3 linked regions of the Bombyx mori genome follow. The protein of the gene in region 1 binds, or shares a complex with, the protein of each later gene. Links are inferred from orthologs where the notes say so. Each region holds a gene or a part of one and is shown in the gene's direction. Other genes may lie near its edges. The genes, in order: microprocessor complex subunit DGCR8, ribonuclease 3 and enhancer of rudimentary homolog.

Region 1 (7,591 bases):
ACCCGTCATAACGATGATGTTAAGTTGCTACTAACTTATGGTTAGTCTGTAATTCGTTATGTTATCCCTAACTCCACCACAACTTTGGAAATCCGCCTCTCATGGACTGAGTGTTCGTGTGTGCAGGTCAGCGATCTGAAGGAGCAACTCCGCGACGTGATGTTCTTTGTGGAGGCGCGAGCGCAGCTGGAGCGGTCCGACGCCGTGTCGCGCGACGAGCTGGCCGCCGCCACGCTGACCGTGCCGCCCCGCCACGCCGCGCCGCGCCGCCGCCGCCGGTAGGGCCACGCAGCCGTCGTCGCGCCCCGCCGCGTCGCGCCCCGCCCCGCCCCGCCGCGAGCTCCAACACCTTCCTTTGTAATCTTGAACATTAGTATGTAAATATGAAAAATTCTGTGATAAATGTTTAGAAGACTATGTACTTGATTTATTACATATGTGTGTTTTGCTGAGATAATTAAATTTATTTGTTCCAATGCTGTTTCTAAACTAGCTCTGAAATGAAGAACATAATAAATAAATAAAAAAGAGTGTTTGTATGTTTTTTGGCCCTAATCCTTGCATTCGCTTAAGTTTTATCTCATGTAGTAAAAGCTATTGACTATTGAACACACATGTACCTATATGATGAATTCGAAGACGCAATTGTATTGCCAGGACTGGGGTTCTCAACGCAAACTATTGAACAGATTACACCAAACTGACGATACCTAGTCACATTGACTCGATTTCACCAGGATCTAATACGCACTAGTAGTCAGTTTAGTTCACCGTACTATATGCCACTCTATCACTACTTTGGATTGCTTTTCCTTCGTAGCGAATTGTCTCGCTTCATGCTTTTCAAGTATTTTGACCTTCGACGTAGCCACGCTCGTGTCCGAGTCAAATCTTGCTATTTGGCCAAAAGACAGCTTTCAGTGCCTCTGGGTGCACTTGCAATATGAACACAAACTTAGAAAAACGTGATTGAGGTCATAATTTAATGATCAAACAAGTTAATTTAATTGTTTTTTAGGTTTATTCGTGTAATGTCTCAGATTAATGGCGAATAGTTCGTGCGCACCACGACCACATATAGAACAGCTTCTATTTCTCTTTAATTAGTGAACATAGAATTTCAAATCCGTACGTCGTTTGTTTCGGGTGCCACGTAGAGGTTCTGTCCTATTATCCTGTTAAGTGTGTTATATATGATTCTATCTGTGATTTGAATATACCCATACTATTAAGGAGAGTAGAAGTAACGAGCACTATCTCAGTGTAAAAAGTGTCCGCTGAAAGAGAGAAAACAAGGTGGCGCCATAGTAGCAAGTAGAACGATTAAAAACAGCGCCTTAACCACACTTCAATTTAATTCAAGCACACTGCACTCTGTTTAAAACTGCTATACTCATATTATTTCCACTTCCTCCACTAGCGCTATTTGGGTGAGTCTTACAACAATAATTTGTTGTTTACAGGTAGACACTTTTTTGCTTGTCCTCTATACAAGATGGTACATTTCTTTTTTTCCTACCTAAGCTGAGTGCCTTGAGAGGCTATATCAGCGTAGCCTTAACTAGTAGGTGAGCTCACGGGGCTCAAACCTGATGACGTTGCTAACACGTAGTAACACGTTACTGGTGGTAGGACCTCTTGTGAGTCCGCGCAGTTAAGTACCACCGCCCTGCCTATTTCTGCCGTGAAGCAGTAATGCGTTTCGATTTGAAAGGTGGAGCAGCCGTTGTAACTATACTGAGATCTGAGAACTTATATCTCAAGGTGAGTGGCGCATTTACGTTGTAGATGTCCATGGGCTCCAGTAACCACTTAACTCCAGGTGGGCTGTGAGCTCGTCCACCAATCTAAGCAATAAAAAAAAAAAAACGAACCCTAGCAAGAGCCGTGCTTCGCAGAATCTACCGCTGGATCGGAAACGCGACCCACTGAAAAGATCCGGCCAGAAACTCAGTGGGCTGTGTCTGAGGGTTAATTTACTCGTCGAGCCCTTCGTCGCAAGCGACGGGTTCGACAGGACGATGACCGGTCTACCCTTCATATGCATGCGTGCACATGGTACTATTTATGCGTAAGCACCTCTTAGTAGTTTGCACAAATTAATATATTAGGTAGTCTGTAGCCTGTAGTTTTTTTTGGCGGGAACGCGAGAGTGAAGTTGTGTGATTTGTTTTATTTTGTCTATTTAGTGTTTCTTCAGGTTTAAATGTGTAATAATGGTGGTTTATTAACTGTTTAATATCTGTGAAAGTGCACAAATGTAGGAAAATGAAACAACGCTGCTGGGCTTGACTTCTCGGGATCCTCCAAAAAGCCCACTGGAAAAATTTCAGTAAATGACCACTATTTTACTGAAATTATATTTCATCCCATATCATCTCATCTCATTTCATTTCATTTCGTTTCCATTTCGTTTCATTCCATTTCATGCCATGTTTCATATTAATGAACTTCATTTCATTTCATAATATCATTTTTTATATAAAAAAGTTTTCATTACAAATAAAATAAGACTTGACTTAATGGTCTTAGTTACCAGGTCGTAAAATCCCTTAAAAAATTGAGGATTTAACCTATAGGTCTTAGTTACCAGGTCATAAAGTTCCCTAAAAAAACGAGGATAGCTCTTGTCTTCTGAAAATTTATCGTTATTTCCTAAAAGTCGGTACGGTACCATATTCATTCAACACTATTTTACTAAGTGCTCAGACACGCTAGCCGTTTTCGACGGTGTGTGGTTGCAAAATAAGTTTATCAGATTTCCCTAAATACATGTTTTATTGATTATTGATTAACCTTTTCAGTCACGAGCGTAAGTATCTCGCACATAACGTACGGTACTAGTAATGAAACTGAAATTTACTGTCTCTAACAATGAATATAAGCTATCACCAAGCCACATCTGATTTACATACTTATAGGTTTTTGTCGAAATATGTATCGTGAATACATACGCTTATAACCAGGTCATAATTTGCATTTTCTTTAATGCAGTGTTTGATCGTTTTGAAGGATAGCAACAGAAATTCTACAGGAACGCGTCTGCCCGGGAGCGGTTAAGGAGGTATAGAGTCCAGTCGTCCTGTAACGTTGCGGTTTTGCTACAGACTAGACTCGGTGTTTATATCAGAGGTTCTGGTCTGTCGCAATCCTGCTGAAGTCTTCATGGCCGCTTTGCACGTCTTGCTCTCGGTCCCGCTACTAACTAAGGTTTACAGCAAGTGATGGCTGAAATCCAACTGTTGGAACACATAGGATTTTAAGTGCCATCGCTATCTGTGGACTGTGTTACATCACTTTGGGTATTTAGTTAATTTCTGTACGCTGAGGTGAAAGTGCCTCTAAATGTCTATTTGATTTGAGTATTGTAATACAAAAAAATCCTGAGAAATGCACCTCAAACTACTCCAATTTAGAAATTGAATGCAACACAAAATAATATAAGTAGCTTCTTAGCAAATGAATATTTGCACATTTTTGATGAATTTTAAAAATGACATTTTGTAGAGCATTATTTTCTTTTACCATCATTGTTTAGTAACAAAAAAATTAATAGTAAGATTTTTTTGATTTTTTTTTTGAGAATGTCAATATCTAGTTATTAAGTCTGCTAAAATCAGGATATAAAATAAATTTTATAACATGGACTGTTCCAAATTTATTTTATTGAAAACCTCTCAAGAGTAAAAAGGTTTATTACATATAGCTATTTTTCAGCAGTTTGAAAGTAATGTGTAAAATTCATTAGTGTCAGAATTGTAAAGTTATTGTTATCAACGTGTATCTTAGTTTATGTAATTTAATGGATTATGCCTAACATGGTATGTTGAAGATAAATTAATGTGTTCCTATTTCATTAAAAACATTTTCAATGAACGCACGTTTTTAAACAGAATAAAATGAATGAGGAAGATCAGCATATGCCACCAGCGAAGAAGCCAAAGGTGGACAATTCGGTAGAAGATGTTGATTTCACTCAAGATGTGTCCATTGTAGATAATAACAAAGACTTTAAGATAAGTACTGATAAATATACTGATTATGTGACCCCTACTGAGCTGCAGCAGCTGCGGGAATTCAAAGTTCTAGATGAGGTGAAGTCCAACGAAGAAGATAGTAATGACGAGGATACAGAGTCCACTGAGGGTAGGCTCCTTATTAACTATGTTTCGGTGTTGTTCTTGAATCTATTGAATATTGAGTAAGTGCATGCATTAGAAGTGTTATGTGAAGTAAAAAATTAAAACCCACAAAAATAAAAATCAAGTGATTCCTTATAACAAATAGTAGATAGGTCAAATCAGTTCACCGGATATACAATAAAAAAGTATTCTTGCTTTTACTATACAGAGTAATTGATAATGGTAGAATACACAACAGAGTGAAAACATTACAATTTTGAATACTCAAGGTTTTAACACAACTTAGGAGAAAGATAATGCAGTATTTTACCTGCATTCTGTCTATATAGTAAAATTTGATGAACGAGCTCATGGCTCACCTGAAGTATAGTGATTATTGGAGCACATAGACATCTCATGTGTGAATACTGTCACCCATTAAAAATATGAGGTATTATAATAATATTACATGTCTAGGTTGAACCTCCATTGTATTGTATAACAGCTGCCCACACTTTAAATTGACACCTAACTGCTTTGTAACAAAAATGGGCTGATATGGCTACTTGCTCAGGCTCACAGCATGCCCTACTACAGTAATTATGTATATATGATATTGACAGACAACTTAGTGTTAAGATACAAAAACACTTGCAACTAATGTAGATTCAAAGGTTAAAGTTTTTTATTAGCATAAATTGATTGATGAGCTTTCATTCTTAGACCCATAGACACACCAATGTTGATGCGAAGGGCGACAGGCTCAAGTATACTAATGTTGAATCCATATGCATGGTTGCTTTACTGTAGGAATAGTTAAGAAGGAAGTGTTATAGGCATGATAATTATGCAAAATCCCAATTAAATTGTGATGATTTCGTCAATTGTTTTCTAACTTAATAGGTATATTTTAAGTAACTATTTACAATGTCGTCTACTACTTTATTAATTAATAATATATTTTAGGAAAATCAGAAGGTGTGCCCGAAGATGAAATAGAGAAAATGTTAGATGAAGATCTTCCGGAGGGCTTTAAGGGTGCTCCTAAACCTAAGGAGAAGGCATACGTTATGGGAAAGAAAATTGTTTTAGAAGGTAAGTTAATTGACTTCAACAAACACTGGCAATACAATAACTCCTTTGGTGACACTGCCCTGTCATGAGAATTGTGAGAGATGGTTTTTATTGGGCTCCTCACAAGTTATCTCTTATAGTCTAAATCACATCACAGTATCCATGCACCCAATGGGCAATTGTATGAAACTATCGCATATGGGAGTCGTGTGATACCGGTGCAGTGTTTTGTAAAAGGCAGGCTCCTACCCATCTAATTACTATTAGTTTTACAGTTTCATTTTAAATTGGTAGGTGACCGATTCATTGATTCATAACGATATTTTTATTCCCCAAATCTCAGTCGTAACCAACTATCTAAAAAGTATATCAGATACAGGGTGTCCCTCAAGAGGGTGCGTCAAGCCGACAACTGTAGGTAGTTCTTTATTAGAATAATCGAAGTAAATAGTTTTGGAATAATGAGTACTTGTACTTAGCGAACAACCTCTTCTTCCGCCAACCCTTGAACTGTGTTTTACAGAAGGTATCATAATATGATTCGTAGTTAACATTAAGGCTGGCCACATATATTAAAAGATGCGAATAGTGATATCTGAATTATTACTGGTTATACGAATTAAATGCGCACTGAATACATTTTACTCCACCAAATAGGCACTCACTGTTATATCACTTCCATTAAGCCCTTATAACACGGTACTCTTATAACGGATTTTCATATTACGCGAATTCAGTCCTTCGTATAACACGGGTATACCCCATATAACGCGGGCATTTTGCACGTTTTACTATTACTGTATTGTGAAATTTATAATGATTTGTACAGTTTATAAGTCGGCACGAGTCTTGAGCTCTGACCTTGACATGCGCAGAAGTCCATTTTTGGGTCTGTTTGGAGGAACGAGGCAAGAACGGGGGTGCGTAAGCCATATTGATTACGTGATTGGATCTACCCGCGGCACGTCACCTGCCGTCAGTTGTGATTGGTTCCCTGTGTTGTGCACGCGCATCACTGCAGCAAACTACACTTTTGTCCAATTTTAATAGCCCCACATTTTTTTTTTCAAACTCATTCAATTTTTATATATATTTTATTGATGTACAAAACAAATCACAATAATTATAGTACATTACATATTAACTAAATCGTACAAATAGTACCTAAGTCTGATCTGGATTGCAGTCTAAATAATATATGCACTAAGCAAACCTGTATTAATGTACATAGCGAGCGAGCCTCTGCATTGGTTATTGAAAATAAAATTACGAGTTCCAGGGGAAAAAAAAGCAAAAAAAATAATACGAAGTATCCACGTATGTAGACAACTACAATACAACCAACACAAAATTTCATCCCTCTCCAGGGTATAACATGAAGATTAATTCTCACACATTCAATATCGATAACTAGCCATTGTTAAATAGGATATCCTTCCTCCTATCCTTCACACAACTGACAAATCCCTTGAGTCTTGGTTCAAAAATATTGAGGTCTCCGTTTGTCTATTGTCTTTAGTAAGTATTTATCAACTTAGTATTATTATAATATTCTAATAATGTAATATTTTAAACTTTATTCTCAAAATGAAACCATATATATATATACAGTGTTAGGTAGTAAAGTAGTCAACAATACTGATAAAGAAAATAACATCAATTATGTAAATGATTTGCAAATTTTAACTAACAGTAAACTATCTATACTTTCATGTTAGCAGCGAGAACGTTAGTTGGAGTAGTTAAAGCTGTGACCGACATAATTAAATAAAAAGTCAATTTGATGACTGTCACTGATTGGAATAAACTGTGCCAAAAAGTGAATAAAATAAAAGAGCTATATAGGAAAAGTGATCGTTTGCTGGACTCTGTTTACTCTTGTGAGTCCGCACGGGTGGGTACCACCATCTTGTCTATTTCTGCCGTGAAGCAGTAATGCGTTTCGGTCTGAAGGGTGGAGCAGCTGTTGTAACTATACTGAAACCTCAAAACTTATATCTCAATTAATCTGTGGCATTTACATAGTAGATGTATACGGGCTCCGGTAACCACGTAAAGATCGATGATATGATGTATGGTATGTCATTTATGATAGAATGAAGATTTTTTATTTCGTGTATTTTGCTCCATTATTGCTTCACGATAACGCGAGACCTCATACAGCACGAGAAACCGTTTTAACTCTACAGGAACCGCTATTAGGAACCTGTCGTCGTATTCGCCAGACCTTGCTCCCTCGAACTACAATTCCTTTCGTGATTTGGACAATTTTCTATGTGATAAAAAGTTTTCTTCCCAGGAGGCAGTACAAAATGCTTTCACACAGTAAGTAGAATCTAGATCATCAGAGTTCTATCGCAAAGGCATAAATGACCATCCTATTAGATGGCAGCAAT
Region 2 (7,512 bases), on another chromosome or scaffold:
TATAAAATAGAGAAAATGTTATATTATAAGACTACAGAAAATTAACTGAACTTAATAATAATAATATAACCAATATTTCGTAAATAGAGATCAAGTACTATGTGTATTGTGTTATGTTTATTGACTTGTCATTTAAGAGTTATTTAATTGTCTACATTTATAACAAATAAATGAATTTCAGTTCATTTCAATTTATTACCCATTGTGTTTTATTTCCTAAAATATAACTAGTAGACTTAATATACACGTGTCATGAAAATAGCAGAGAAGTAAAAATACAAGCAATTTTAAATCAATTGAAGATGTGAATGTAGGAAAAGAGCACCCGATACGCGCAGACCATGTGTGTTGCAGTGTCTTACTCAGTGTGTCAAATCTTAATTTGCACTGCCCACTTAGCCAGTACATTAAAGTAGGAATTGCGTAATTAAGTTCAACATAATATTTAAGTCGCGGTTGAGTATTCGGACGTTAAACATGAGTTTGAGGAAGTTTAAGTAATAGAACTGAGGTAATGATGTTTGTAAAAAACTCAGTGCTAGATTTACGACTACGAAGCAATTTCTAAAAAAACCGTCGAAAAAAGTCACCATGACGACGAAGAAATGTTTAGAATTGAATTTACATAAATAAACTGTTGCAAGCACGTGTTTTGTATTTACATAGCGCTACACAGAATTACTTAAGGTAAATTCAAAACTGATGCATGTGTATAATTTTGTCCTTTAAATAAATTTTATATGGTCACCACATTAGACAAGGACACCGCGACCAAAAAGTATTCTCTTTCGAGACCGATTTCTCGGCATTAGACAGCACTCCAGTTGTAGGTACTTATTAACTCCATGGTAGGTACCTATAGTCGGATTTTTAATTAGACGAAGCTAGCTGACAGTAGCTAATGTCACTTTGTGAAATAATGTTGCTATATTTAAAGTAATAGTGATGCGTTCAGTTCTCGTTCAATCACAAATGAACAATGAGTGTGAAGAGTTAATCATTAATTTCAAACTATAAAAGAGTATTATTTATATTTTACAATAAAATTGTATTAAAGTGCTCCAATATATGTTGCTAGTAGTATGTAACTACAATCAGCTTTTTTATTTTCATTACCTACCTATAATTGTTATATTTTATACATCTATAATTTCAACTATATGATGTATTAGAAATATGACAGTCTTACAAACTTCCTCGCAATGTTTTTCTTAATTAAAACACTCGGTATTCAGTACAGGTAGATACTATAGGAACATAATATTTCGTCGAAAACTCGTTGGTATGTACAAAGCACGCCTAAAATTCGAACCCCGTACCCGATATCGGCAATTCGGCACACCAACTGTTCACTAGACAATCGAGGCAATTTCATTAATTCAGGAGTTTTTTCAATCGTTCACTTTGTCACAACACTATTTTTATTTCATCAAAAACTGACAACACAGTAAACGTCAGTTGACTTCGTCTAATAAAAAATCCGACTATATTTGATCAATCTATAGATCCGAGTGACAGTCCAAAGAATCGATTCACATTAAAATAGCGCAATATCCTTAAGGCACAGATTCGTTTCATACGTGTAAACCAAAACGAAAGTTAGTATTAAAGATCGAAGTCTCATTATTGCATTCGATACCGCCTTCCCTGAGCTACTATAGACCACAACCTACTTTCCCGTGGCTACAGTATCCTGTCCTTCCTACTCCTAACTCCCTCTTCTCCTCATCTCTTTAATACCCATCCCTACACGCGGCTTCCTTTCCGCTTAATACACAAAGTCTGACTTGGCGAGGAAGGCAACACAACGCAGATATGCAACGTGACTTGGCGGACTCGGCAGGTCAGCAAGGCAAGGTGGATGGCCTAGGGCAGGGGTGGGCAAATACTTTAAAGCGCGGGCCAAAATGTAATTTTCAAAATGTCTCCCGGGCCGGAGGACTATACCGCATATACTTTTTTACCGCATATGCTTTTTTAATGCTGATGTCAACAAAATCTCATAAGAGTTTAAAAAAATTTATGTGCGGAATTTTTCAACGGGCCGGATAAAATTAGCAGAAGGGCCGGATCCGGCCCGCGGGCCGGCTTTTGCCCACCCCTGGCCTAGGGCGATGGTGGAGGGCATATAGTCATCGTCGGCTAGACACAACATCCAACCCCTTCTTCAGTCGTAGCGGTTTCCCGTTCCACTGATCCAAGAAGGGATAGGACGAGGGTGTGCGCCTGCGTGAGCGCAAACGTTTGCGCACCTAAATATATCCTGCGTATCTGACCGCTTCCGTAAACCAAAATCTGCCTGAGCTTTTGCCCGACCACCTGTCTCGGTGAAACCAGCACCGGACCACCAGTAATCCTTACTTTCTAAAAAAAGCTCTGAAAACTGATTTTCGTTTCTTTTCTCTGTTATAGTAAAATGAAGAGATTCAAAGTACCCGTAAGAATTAAAAATAATTGTAAATTATTTTATAGTTTTCTCTTAATTTTATAGAAACTGTACTTTCGATCTATGATTTTTACTTACGGAAAGTAACGGTAAGGTGCAGCATCTTGTGCGACAAGTTAAAAAAGTTTCCATCTGTAAACATAAAGTTATTATAGGAAGACTCATCGAAATAGCAGTAGTGTACGAAGTGGTTTACTGATGGTAGGTCAAATTGTGAGTCCACACGGGTAGGTATCATCGCTCTGCCTAATTCTATCATGAAGCAGTAATGCGTTTCGGATTAAAGATTGGGGCAGCAATTGTACTGTAAAACCTGAGACCTCAGAACTTATACCTCAAGGTAGGTGGCGGTATTTACGTCGTAGATGTCTTTTTTATTTATTGCTTAGGTGAGTGGATGAGCTCACGCCCACCTGGTGTCAGTAGTTACCGTAGCCCATAGACATCTACAACGTAAATGCCGCTACTTACCTTGAGATATAATTTCTAAGGTCTCAGTACAGTTATAACGGTTGCCCTATGTCTATGGGCTCCGGTAATCACTTAACACCAGGTGGGCCGTAAGGTCGTCCACCCACCTAAGCAATAAAAAAAAGTGGAAATTATCTGAATATATCAGTTTTAAATAGAGTGAAGTGTTGTAGTTTATGGCGCAGCTTTGTAAGCTCCACGTCCTCTCCACGTCTATGGCGCCACCTTATTTAGTTCCCTTTCAGCGGACATTTTAGTACACTGAGATGATGCCCCTACTCCTTACTTCGCCCTCGATTATTTTTCTGAGATCATTTAAAGACCTTTCATATAAGGCATCTTTAATGAAACATGCTTATCTATATAGCCAGTTAGTTAGTTATAGTAGTTAACCTTTTACATGTAAATTTTCTCCATACTGTTTATTGTCAAATGTAATTTGTAATTCTTCGTTTTCTTTTTCGCCTTCCTCTAAATTGGTCTTTCTTTATGTTGTAGGGGCCTTTGAGGCGCCAAAAATTCATTGGCTTATGTCGAATTAGCAATCCACCTTTTTTTGAAAAAAAATATCGATATATTTTGAGGAGAAAATCGATTTTTTTAATAGTCTATCTCCGATAATTATCTCTATTGAGATTTACTTTGATTGATAGCTAAATTAAGACTTAACCTAAAGGTCTTAGTTACCAGGTCATCAAATCTTTAAAAAAAAATGATATTTGATAAACTCAAATAGACATTCATTCAAAATAATCTAAATATTAATTAATTAAATACTCTTGGATTTATCTTTCAACATTTGGATTGAATATGTATACGGAAGTAATTCATCATTATTCACGTTAAAGTTTCTTAATTAAAAAAAAAACTGTATGTGTCGATAAGCAGTAAAACATTTCAGTATGTCTATTCCTCCAGTTGATTACAGTGTTCCACCTCCGCCAATTCCGAGGCTTCCAGTTAATATTCCGTTACCACCCCACCCACCCCCGCCTATCTTTCCGAGAGCAATGCCTTTATATACCAGACCGCCACCAGTACTTCCGATGCTATCAGTACCGCCAGTACCATACCCTCATTCACGCATGCCTCCAGCTCCTGTTCCACAGTTACCTGTACCCAACTTTATGCCCACCATTGATATACATTCTGTCCCTCCACCACATCCAGTATCTTCCTACCAAGCATCCAAATCGCACAGAGATACTAATGATTATCTACCGTGGAATTACAAAACATCCAATAGCTTGAGTAATACGAGTTCTGGTATAACTAGAATAGATCATGGTTTGTGTGGTACAACATATAAAAAAAAAGAAATCTATCGAAATTCGAGAGAACCATCAAGACATAGCTATTCTCCCCAAAGAGGGCATTCTCCTTTTAGGGGACAGTCCCCTCACATAGGACATTCTCCACATGGATATTCTGATAGGAGCAGGAGGGAGAGGGATAGAGATAGAGAACAGAGGAATCCGACAAGTCATAGTCCTAGATATTGCTCTAGAAGTCCACCAAGATACAGTTCAAAATTAAACAGAAGTCCTTCTCGATATAGCTATAGAGAAAGAGAGAAAGAAAGATATTACATGGAGAGAGAGAAAAAGTATTATGAAGGAAGACGAGAATATGGTAGAAGAAAATATGAATATGATGTTCGCCGCAGTGAATCTCAATACAAAGATTATAGAAGCCACAGTAGATGTGAAGGTAGGGATAGATCACCAAGCAGAAGGGCGCATTCTCCTAGTAGGGAGTCCAATAGAGAAAGTCTGACGAGAGAAATGTCACTTCACCGACAAGAATCACTTTTAGGCAAACCAATGACAGATCGTGAAAAGATTTTGGAAGAATATAGGTAATTATGTTAAAGTGATGTCAAAGTAGAAATTTCTTTTAATAACTTAATTGTTAAATGAAAACTAAAGAACTTAAATTAGTACTGAGTCCACAGTGTACACATATTATTGTTTATTCAATTGAGTTGAAAGGTTGTGTAGTTTTTGGCACTTCTGGCAAGCGTCTAGTTCTGTTTCTTGAATACTTTATGATTCACTGGTGCACTTCTTCTTGCCCTTATATCACATAGTGTGGGGTTCATGCTGCATGTCCGCTTATGCTGCATAGAGATTTGGCCTTAGTTTTATGATCGGTTGCCAATTTAACATCAACCCTTCTTAGGTTCTCTAAATATCCAGTGCAACATTCCATGGGCAGGTACTTTTCTTTTTGTCTTGGTACCACCTTTTAATTCAACAGTTTTTGCTTCAATTTTTTGCATATTATTATTAAAAACGTTTGGTTGGTTTACAGGTACACTAATGAAATATATGCATATTTTCTTGGATATTGTGAGTCCGAAAGATAAACCACTGAATTAGCTATTTTTTTCCTAAGACATTCATTAATTTCTGTTTGAATACTAGTATTAGGATATCATTATTTATAACTCTCACTTTATTTCTTGAGGTAGATGGCTTTCTAAATAACTTTTCTTCAGTACTACAGAACAGTATCTGCCTCTTCTGATAATCTTAAAAAGATGAACACACATTCGTGTCTGGATTAAATTTATTATGGCCAGTTAATAGTGGTATAAGAAAAACTCGCTTTTACAATTAAATTTCGCATTTTTAAAGTTAATAAATTAAGTGTATTTGCCCTAACATTTAATTAATTATTTATTTACACATTAATTTGTATGACAATTTTCTTAATTTTAGGAAAAACTACTGTAGAACTTCTGAAGATTTTATACAGAAAATGGAACAGTGGTCGAAAGAACATCTTTCTGAAGGAGAAGAGGTCAGTATTTTATATATTTAAGAAAATCCTGGCATGTGACTTTACAGTTTAAGATTATGTAAAATTGTAAAACTAATGCTTTCCTTTAAATTAAAATAAAACTTTACTGACTAAGTAGTACCAAAACTATTTCTGCATATTTATATTGTACATAACATATTATATTGTTTCTGTGCAGATTTTCGAACAAATTCTTGCTAAAAATTTGCTTAAAGTTTTTTCAAAATTTGTTTCCAATTTAGGGGAATATTTTTGGAAGTTCATATGATTTCAATATATAAAACGTAATCATATATTGAATATTGTTTCATAAAACTGTTAGTTAATATAGTTAATAGTTAGGAACCGCAGGAGAAGAAGTCAAAGTTCGGTTGTTAAAGTTTATCGTGCAATCTGTAAATTAACAAAATACACTAAACTATCATAACTAGATGTAACTTGAATTTTTATTGGAAAAATTTGATTTAACACTTACAAATATTATTTCTCATAAATATTGTTTATTTACGTTTATCTCGCAAAAAAAAACTTGCCATTGTTTATCACTATTTCCCGGTATAGGCCAGGCTTCCTTGGTAGCTGTCTGGGGTAATTAAAGGAAACGAGGTCGCACAGCGCGCTACCACCCCTCTGGCAGGCTGCATAGTTTGATACTAAAGAACGACCAGTTGGTGGTGATTTGAGCTTCGACTTGACAAATTGGTTCTGGTCCAGCGTTGTTCCCTAGAAAACTTTCAACAAAGCCTGGGAGGCTTAAGGGACCGCCGACCAAGTTGGCTGACTTATAGCCTTGTGGTGGTGGACCGGTTGCAGCGGTGCGCGACTGGTTGCAGTGTTGACTGCGGTTGCCCCTGTTACCTCTACCGGGTATTCTTTGGGGCAAGGATTGGATCTTTAGGCGACAGTACAGGGGAATCTATAAGTGGGGTCTACAGCAGTTCCATATAATAGTGCATCGTCCAGCCGCGTAGATCGCGGGCACAGATTAGGCAATTAGCCATAAAAAAATGTTTTACCACTACTTCTGATAGAGTACATAAATTAGTCTATTCAATGCCAATTTCGAAAGTACCAAGAACAGTGAAATTAATCAGTGGTTAACAAATTTTTTACAGTCGTCAATGTGGTATAGGAGTTCACCAGCTGAGCTCTATTACAAAGAAGTCCAAAATGGTGAGGGAGTCGAACAAACTTTAAAACTGCAGAAACTTTGTGAAGTATTCATGAAGAAACTCATTGAGAGGGGACGTAATGCAAGGCCTGAGGTTGATGAGCTCCCACCCTTAAAGCCACCTAAATCGAAAATGTGCAAACATAAACGTAAGTACCTACGTACCTATTTCTATTTTATTTTAAATATTATATAATATTAATAGATAAATTTACAACAGGGTGACCGATAAAACTAATTTAATGTGTCAATGATAAAATACACAATCACACTTTCACAGAATTGTATAATGGATTAGGAATACTGATGAATGAGAGAAACCTGTGACTATCAGGTTGACCTAGGTACAAATTTCTAGGAAGGCACAAATGTAACATTAAAAAAATATGTATTTGACAGTTGATGAAAAAAGCTCATCGTCGTCATCATCGTCATCATCATCAGAAAGTGACGGATGTTTAGATGAAGAGGGCTTGCAGGGCTATAGTGATAGGATAATGCTAGAGCTACAGCGGAAACAGAGTCATCCCAGGAGATTGCACCCTGAAATGTGGTATGTTCGAGGTTAAGAGTACTTAGATTTTATATTCAAATTGATTAAATGATGAACTAGTGCTGG
Region 3 (7,450 bases), on another chromosome or scaffold:
CGTCGCCTATCTCGGCAATTACGTGATGAAGAGTTATATTTTCTGGTGTTGAAACTTTCGTATCTGGATGCTCCGCATTCTGCACTAAGGCAATCAGTTGAGAATCAGACACAAACTGTGTTTCAAATTGGTAAATATTTTCTTCATGTAATTCCTGAAATCATGAAACCTCTTTCAGTGTTTTAATAATGTGTTAATTTTCTTTTATTATTAATTTTATAAACAGTGAACATTCTCATGACCCTCCAGATATTAAGTCATTACCAGAGTATGCGGCATTACTGCATAATTTTTTTACAAGATGTCAAAGCCTCGATTACTAAGAAAATATCTATGTAATTCTATTGGTTGTAGGGTGTCTTGTGAGCCCACATGAGTAAGTTTCACCACCCTGTCTATTACTGTTGGAAGGCATACTTAACAAATGTTTACGATTGACTTCCACAGTGAATAAATAACATTGTGTAAAAACCAAACCTGCAAAATTATAATTTCTGTGATTACGTGGTAGGAGGTCTTGTGAGTCTACTTAGGTAGGTAATACTACCCTGCCGATTTCTACTGTGAAGCAGTAATGCGTTTCGGTTTAAAGGGTGCAGCAGCCATTGTACTGTACCTACCTTGTGAATAACATCTCGAAGTGGGTGGCAGCATTAACATTTTAGATGTATACAGGCTCCAGTAACTACTTTACACCAGGTGAGCTAAGCTTGTGCACCTATCTAAGCAATGAAAAAAAATCAAACAAAATATTCACAGTAGAACTCATTCTGATGTTGATGTACAAACTTACTACTTACAGAACTATACACAGGGCATATACCACCTTATGGATATTTGGATCTAAAATGGCAAAATTATCTGGTAAATTTAGTTAACTATTACTTTACTTAACTTTTAACCTTTTAACTTTTACTTGTAAAATTAAGAAAAAATATGGAAAAATAGCAGGGCTCAAACAATTTGGAGAAATTAATTGAATAAAGTGTAATGCTGCTCAGGACAAATAACAGATATGTTGGCAGCAGAAGGCAAGGGCTGGGCATTATTTACGTAAAGAATAGCTCGTTTTCTTATCACTGTAGGACTTTCTGACCTTGCAATATATACTGACCTTGGGATAATCTGGTAACTCAGCCACAGGGATAAACTCCTTTTTCGTAAAGTAATTATTAGTTGTATTATCAACTTTGGTCAAATTATTCGTATCAGCTTTCTGAATGGCTCTCATCTGTGATTGTACAATCTTTATAACGTCCCTTGGTTTGCTGGCCTGTTCTCTATCGCGAAAATCGTGTCCGTATAATACTGGTGTTCTATTACGTTTGTTTCGTAAAATTAATTCAAAATCTTCAATTTCCTTTACCGTTTTTTCCATTTCGATTTTTTAAGCACTGTTCGCTTAAATTACACTATGATTATTGATATTCTGTAACAAAATTGTCCTCGCATTTTGTGTTTACTTACAAATAAAATGAAATTATTGAAATAAAAGATGTTTTGAAAATAGTTTGAGCGAAAAATCCAACACATGTCAAAAGTTTTGACTTACTTATGTTAGATTTTTCAGTTTATGTGTGGCCATTGTCACTCGATCCTTTAGCCTATTTATTTTTGTTTTTTACACAACACACGTCATAAAACAAAGTCTCAAAATTTTGAGACATAAATGTGCACCTATTCCCCTATTTATTCTAAAGATAAGCTACCGGTAAAAGTGTAAAATAGCTCTTCGGTTTTGATAAAGCCGAGTACCACGCAACAAATTCCCAATGTGCACAATTCTGTTACTTTTAAACGATGTTATGCGAATATGCAACCATTTACATGTTTTTATATATTTTCAATATTCGTTATTTTATAAATCTTGTAAGAGCAAAAGCGAAATAAGTACCGTGATATCGTGGGATAGGTATGTTATTTTGATTAAGAACTAATAAATCAGTTGACTTTTTTTCACAAATTTTCGAAGCAGCCATTTGTTTCGCATTGAAGGAGTTGAGACTCTACTTGATTTCTCAAAGTGAGCCACGGAGGATACCCTTCGTAAGGTGGACAGCGGAATTCACCTTGTGAAATCTATGGTTCCCAATAACCTCACACCAATTAACCAATTCACACATTTATGCAATAAAGTGAACGTTAAAATATACCATACTCTTTAATATAATTTAATTTTCAGGTACAAGACCAACCAACCAACAAAATACGTTTAATGTTTTGAAACTATGAATTGCTGGCTCTATTTGTTACAAAACAGATAAAAAAATGATTTTTGATCGAATTTTTTATCACATTCTGGAACATAAGCCTTTTTTAAATTAAATGAAATTCAATTTTAAATATATATCAATTATAATTAAAATTATTATTAAAATAAATAATGGAATCAAAAAACACATTTTCGAACGTGTCATTAAAATTTTTAGACCCTAATATTTTGATGAGCTTTTCTGTTTATTTCTGAACGAATAAAGTTAGAAGCGCGATTTGATGGCCTGATAATTCTCGAAAGAATCCTGTCTGTTTATAAATACAACCGATCTTTTATATTATTTAATTAAAATCTTAAAGATCCTTTAAACATGGTACGTTCAGTTTAATTTTTACTTAGTAACGTTGAATTTCTGGTCCAAAATATGGCGGCAAATAGAGGTTATGATTTCAGAGTCACACAATTTTGCTGGTGCAGCCCGGTCCGAGGCCCGAAACCAGGACTTACTCAGACTACGAAAGCGTCAACGACTGCATGGAGGGTGTGTGTAAAATATATGAGGAACATCTGAAAAGGCGAAACCCTAATACACCCACTATCACGTACGATATATCACAACTCTTCGATTTTGTAGACCAGGTATCTAATTATTACTATATATACAATTGTATTGAAATGGAAACACTTGAGAAATGTGACAGAAGCATTGAAAGAACCGGCCTACCTTTTGATTATTAGTGAGCAGTGTAGATCACAAATGAACATGCTGTATTAATCTGAAAACGACTCGGAGAAGAAAGATTAAAGAATTTGTTTCTCTCACTTTCTTGACCACTTAATAATTTGACTTGTTGTTATTGTTTGTCTCTAGTATTTTGTAGAAGTCTACTTATATGTATAGTAAAAAAAAAATTACTATTTACAATTGAGATTATTGATACCATCACTTTCAAAGGAACAGTTTTCATTACATTTAAGAATGAAAGGCTATTTGAGTTAAGCAACATTTTTGCAACTTTACAGGAGAGCCATTTAAAGTTTAAAATTTAGAAAAAATATCATAACAAAAAAGCGTCTTCAGCTATTTGAATGAGTAAACTTAAAACATCGAACAGTTGATGCTAATACCAAATAAAACATTACCTTTAATTACAAAAATAATGTTGCGTATTAAGCAAAACGTCACTTAAGCCTTTCACCCCTCAATATGATAATCGGCTAATTGGTTTTCAATATGATAATTTCAATATGTTACAAAATGATAAAAACCCACCTATTTGTATCATCCTTAAGATTTTTGCATAGATACTGATGTGTTACTTATCTACCTAACCCAGAAATCTGCCTGCTGAGTTACTTCCCAAGACTCCTCAGTGATCCTCATTTCTGATCTGGTAGTAGATGCATTTGCGAAGCAGCTGCTCTTGAACTGTTTGCTTATCAAGCCTGGGCAATTGTTAGCGAATTCCACCCCTCCTGGCTGAGCCTACACTGTCCAACCTATCCTGGTGATACAGGAATATCATGTATCATGACTATGCCTCATCTGTTAGGTAGAAGATCTCATTAATCATCTGCATTTTTTGTCTCCTAAAGTTTAGCTACTCTTTGTTAGCTATTTGCGTAATATTGACAAGCGATGGACTACATGGCCTACGTTTTCTTAAAATATGATCCATACTAGAGATGAAACTGATATCCGGTATCTGGCCTATCCGGCCATGATTTCACTATCTGGCAGATCTGGCCATGATTTCACTATCCGGACGATCTGGCCATTATTTCACTATCCGGCCAGATACCGGATAGTAATTCAGTATCCGGCCAATTGGCGATCGTTTTTTTGATGATGACATTTCTTTTCAATTCAAACATAAAATCACAACGACGCGCATAAACAAAAACAAACTCACACGCGCGAACACTCGAACGCCCCCGAGTCGTCGCGAACTCCGCTCACGTGCGACAACACACGAACGCGCACGAATGTTTCCGAAAGGGCCGAATATCCGGTAAATGAATATCCGGCGCTCCGGCCTCGCAGCTTGCCGAATATTCGGTATCCGGTATCCGGCCAAACTACTATCCGTTTCATCTCTAATCCATACCATCTAATTTTGTCTACTTTACATTGCTCTTCGATTATTCATGTAATGCCCAAATTGATTCTAAACTCAGGACATGTTTTAGTACATGCACAACTTTTGTTTGCTACTGATTATTTAATATTCTGGATCTCAAACTGCACCTCCATCTCTTGTAGGATGAGTCTGATCTTGTATTTAATTTTCAATCTGTGTTTCATCAGATAAAAACAGTGGCTAGCTGTGAATGAATTCATAATTTTATTAGTGATAACCTAATCTCTGAGTAATTTTTAAAGAATTTCATTGATAATAAATATTCTTTAATATTAGTTTTCATGACTGATGTTGTGCCTTCTTATATAAAAGCAATAGATTTCAATGTGTTGATGTCTATCTGGCTGCAATCATTACATTTGCTGTTATGGTGCATTATTTTGTTACGACTACATAATAACATAACTTTTTTTTTTGTTTTCAGTTGGCAGATCTGAGCTGTTTAGTTTATCAGAAATCTACAAACACATACGCACCCTACAACAAAGATTGGATAAAGGAAAAGATATATGTTTTATTGCGTCAAGCGGCCGGACAGAGTGATTAAGATTATAAAAAAAACTCAACATTAAGAACACCGTACAGTGTAAACTTGAAAAAATACATAGTTGTGTAACATAATACAGTAAGAGAGAAATTATTATGTTTGGAAAAATTCTCTGATAAGACTCTTTAATGATCAAATTAATCTATTTTATTAGTGAAGTTCAACATTTAGCACTGTTATTTATGTAAAATCACCTACATAACGTGAAAACTATAAGTCCATCCCACATGCAAGCAGTTGTCAATGTATGTACATTATTTAAACCTATATTTGACACTTTTGTTGTTTTTTTAATTTCATGTAAAATACAGACTAGAACAAATAGTGTGCCTGCTTCCTCTAAAAAATTAGACTGTAATTGATTTAAGTAAACTAACTATGTCTTGAAGTCGATTAGTTGGTTAGGCTTTGCCCCTAAGGATGGTTGCTGTATTTTTTATAACCTTGGAAAATATATTTATGTTGTTAACAGCAGCTTCACCAATACGTGTTGTTTGAGGCAATCTAGAATTCATATATTACATTATACAACATTAATACAAATAACTAAGTCTACTGGTGACCGAGTTTGTTGTAAACCCTTTAGTGTAGGTAATATCATCCTGCCTATCTTTGCCGAGAGGCAGTTATCCGTTTCAGTTTGAGGGATGGGTCAACCGTTACACAATACAGTTAAAACTTTGACTTTATGACTCATAGTGGGTGACTGAATTCAGGTGATGTTTACGTGCTCTGATAAATGCTTTACACTAGGTGGACTCGTTGACCCATCTGCAGGGTGAACCAATATAGTCTTTTTACTTTTGATACATTAATTAAAAAAACCTAAATAAAGGAGATAAAAACTGTTTGCTTATTATGATTAAACATGAATATGTTTTTTTTTATTAGTCAAGATTCACCCTTGATTATATTGACACTGCTGTCATCTAGTTTTTTTGTGAAATGCTCTGCACATCCTTGCAAATATTGCTTCAATTCATCAAGAAACACGAAACTTCACTTTTAAGGTATCACAATAAAAAAATCGGGAAGGAGATTAATGCCAGTTAATGTTACTCATTTTGAAGTTCACTTTATGCTACAGCTACCGATGCAAAAGTAAACAAACTTTTGTTCCACACTGTACATAAGCGAAAATGTTTTTTTCTATTTAGCACATTAACTAATTAATTTGAGAGTTATTATCCAATATGGGGTTTGGAAAATGTTCAGAAAACTGTAAAAAGAGTAATAAATTCAAGTGGCCTGTAAGATTACTGTAAGAGTACTATAATTTAATTATTATGATTTATTGTTTTAGAGTCATTATAACTTGTATAGTTAGCTGATCACATCATTGACGGGCAGCAAAGGGTGGTTTTTTTTTTTAAACTAAAGCAAACAAGCAATAGATAATATCTTTTCAGATAACAGTAACGAATCATGTAGCAATTTAAATGGTTCATTTGGTTTCGGTGCAGTTTGTCGAACTCTGCCTTTACAAATTACTCAAAACCACATTCTAATGATACGGAAAGTTTGTCAGCTTTGGTTGGAACCACCGTACAACACATTTCTCCCACAAAGCAATAGTGTTCCAGCTTATGCATTTGAGACATTGCTGGTAAATATTGATCCGTTGTCTGTTTTTAGAGGCAAATAAATAGTCAATTCATCCATCAGACTAAATGCTATCGTGAAATTAATTCTAATCATTTTTCAAATTGTATTAGACTAAAAAAGAATGTAAATGATAATGTCTCATGATTAGTCTATACATGATAGGCAGGATTTTTTAACAAAGCAATTGATAAGTAACTGACAGATTGCTAGAATTAAAAAAAATAAAAGAAGTTATTGGCCAAGTTAGATTTAGCAATACCTACCTACCTAACTTATATTGAAGAAAATTCATAAACAATATCTAAAATAAGTATGTAATAAAAATAATTATTGGTGTTCACTGCCCACCATTTCTTGTCAAGCTTAGTGAGCGAGTGAGGCCTTGGTAATAAATAATAAACCGATCTGGTGATTTATCAAGGTTGAAAATAATTTATGTAACTTTTGAATTAATAATAGCAATTGGGTATTTGACTGCTTTAAGGATACGTTTAAAACTGTTTAATGTTTTTGTAGCTCGCAAACTATTTTTATGAAAAATCAATTTTAAAAAAAACAATGTTATGATTGTGACAATTAATGACGTCCCAAGCTAGGAACCATTTTATTTATTTTTCAGAGATAATACGGGTCATCTACCAGTTACCTATCACCCAGTTAAAATTCACCAATGTAATATATATCTGATAATGAGCTCTTTGTGTATACATTAAGAAACAACGCGTTCGTTAGAAATGACATCAAAGGGTTTTAGGGCTGCCCAAAAAAAAATTAACAAAATGGTCATTAATATTTTGTAACATATTGTATTCTCATTTTTAAATGCCTATCCTGAAAAAAAGCCTTTGATATTGGTGAATTGACCCCAAGAAAAGATATCAAAGTTAAATTGAATTTTTAAAACCCGGTCTCATTGTGTTCAAAAGTCAAATACCCCGTTGA

The links.
Region 2: the proteins of microprocessor complex subunit DGCR8 (region 1) and ribonuclease 3 are in contact, whole or in part, in a crystal structure (PDB 5B16), measured with the Homo sapiens proteins. The link is inferred for Bombyx mori from reciprocal best matches to the Homo sapiens genes DGCR8 and DROSHA. Residues at the interface, in NP_073557.3 of Homo sapiens: Asn728, Ile731, Leu732, Lys734, Leu735, Gln736, Glu738, Met739, Lys740, Leu742, Ala743, Arg746, Arg750; in NP_001369437.1 of Homo sapiens: Leu984, Leu987, Phe988, Thr998, Tyr999, Thr1001, Ala1002, Ile1003, Gln1005, His1008, Phe1069, Asp1073, Leu1074, Glu1076, Val1077, Trp1078, Asn1080, Pro1082.
Region 3: the proteins of microprocessor complex subunit DGCR8 (region 1) and enhancer of rudimentary homolog are in contact, whole or in part, in a crystal structure (PDB 7CNC), measured with the Homo sapiens proteins. The link is inferred for Bombyx mori from reciprocal best matches to the Homo sapiens genes DGCR8 and ERH. Residues at the interface, in NP_073557.3 of Homo sapiens: Lys107, Phe108, Ser109, Pro110, Asp111, Leu112, Leu114, Leu115; in NP_004441.1 of Homo sapiens: Val8, Pro10, Thr11, Thr18, Tyr19, Ala20, Glu27, Lys34, Met35, His39, Arg42, Met43, Phe60, Leu64.

What each region holds. Positions count from the first base shown.
Region 1 is NC_085122.1:14,194,245-14,201,835, forward strand, and holds the start of microprocessor complex subunit DGCR8, read left to right. Parts: upstream 1-2,601; 5' UTR 2,602-2,812; exon of another isoform or gene 2,813-2,994; 5' UTR 2,995-3,809; coding exon 3,810-3,821; intron 3,822-3,893; coding exon 3,894-4,146; intron 4,147-5,087; coding exon 5,088-5,216; intron 5,217-7,591. Other genes in the region: BRCA1-associated protein, read left to right, coding at 127-282.
Region 2 is NC_085124.1:7,732,658-7,740,169, reverse strand, and holds the start of ribonuclease 3, read left to right. Parts: upstream 1-3,556; 5' UTR 3,557-3,819; coding exon 3,820-4,775; intron 4,776-5,640; coding exon 5,641-5,722; intron 5,723-6,837; coding exon 6,838-7,042; intron 7,043-7,292; coding exon 7,293-7,446; intron 7,447-7,512. UniProt on the Homo sapiens protein: Ribonuclease III double-stranded (ds) RNA-specific endoribonuclease that is involved in the initial step of microRNA (miRNA) biogenesis.
Region 3 is NC_085129.1:16,203,524-16,210,973, reverse strand, and holds the start of enhancer of rudimentary homolog, read left to right. Parts: upstream 1-2,316; 5' UTR 2,317-2,585; coding exon 2,586-2,588; intron 2,589-2,668; coding exon 2,669-2,854; intron 2,855-4,780; coding exon 4,781-4,903; 3' UTR 4,904-7,450. Other genes in the region: breast cancer type 2 susceptibility protein homolog, read right to left, coding at 1-154, 1,115-1,378. UniProt on the Homo sapiens protein: May have a role in the cell cycle.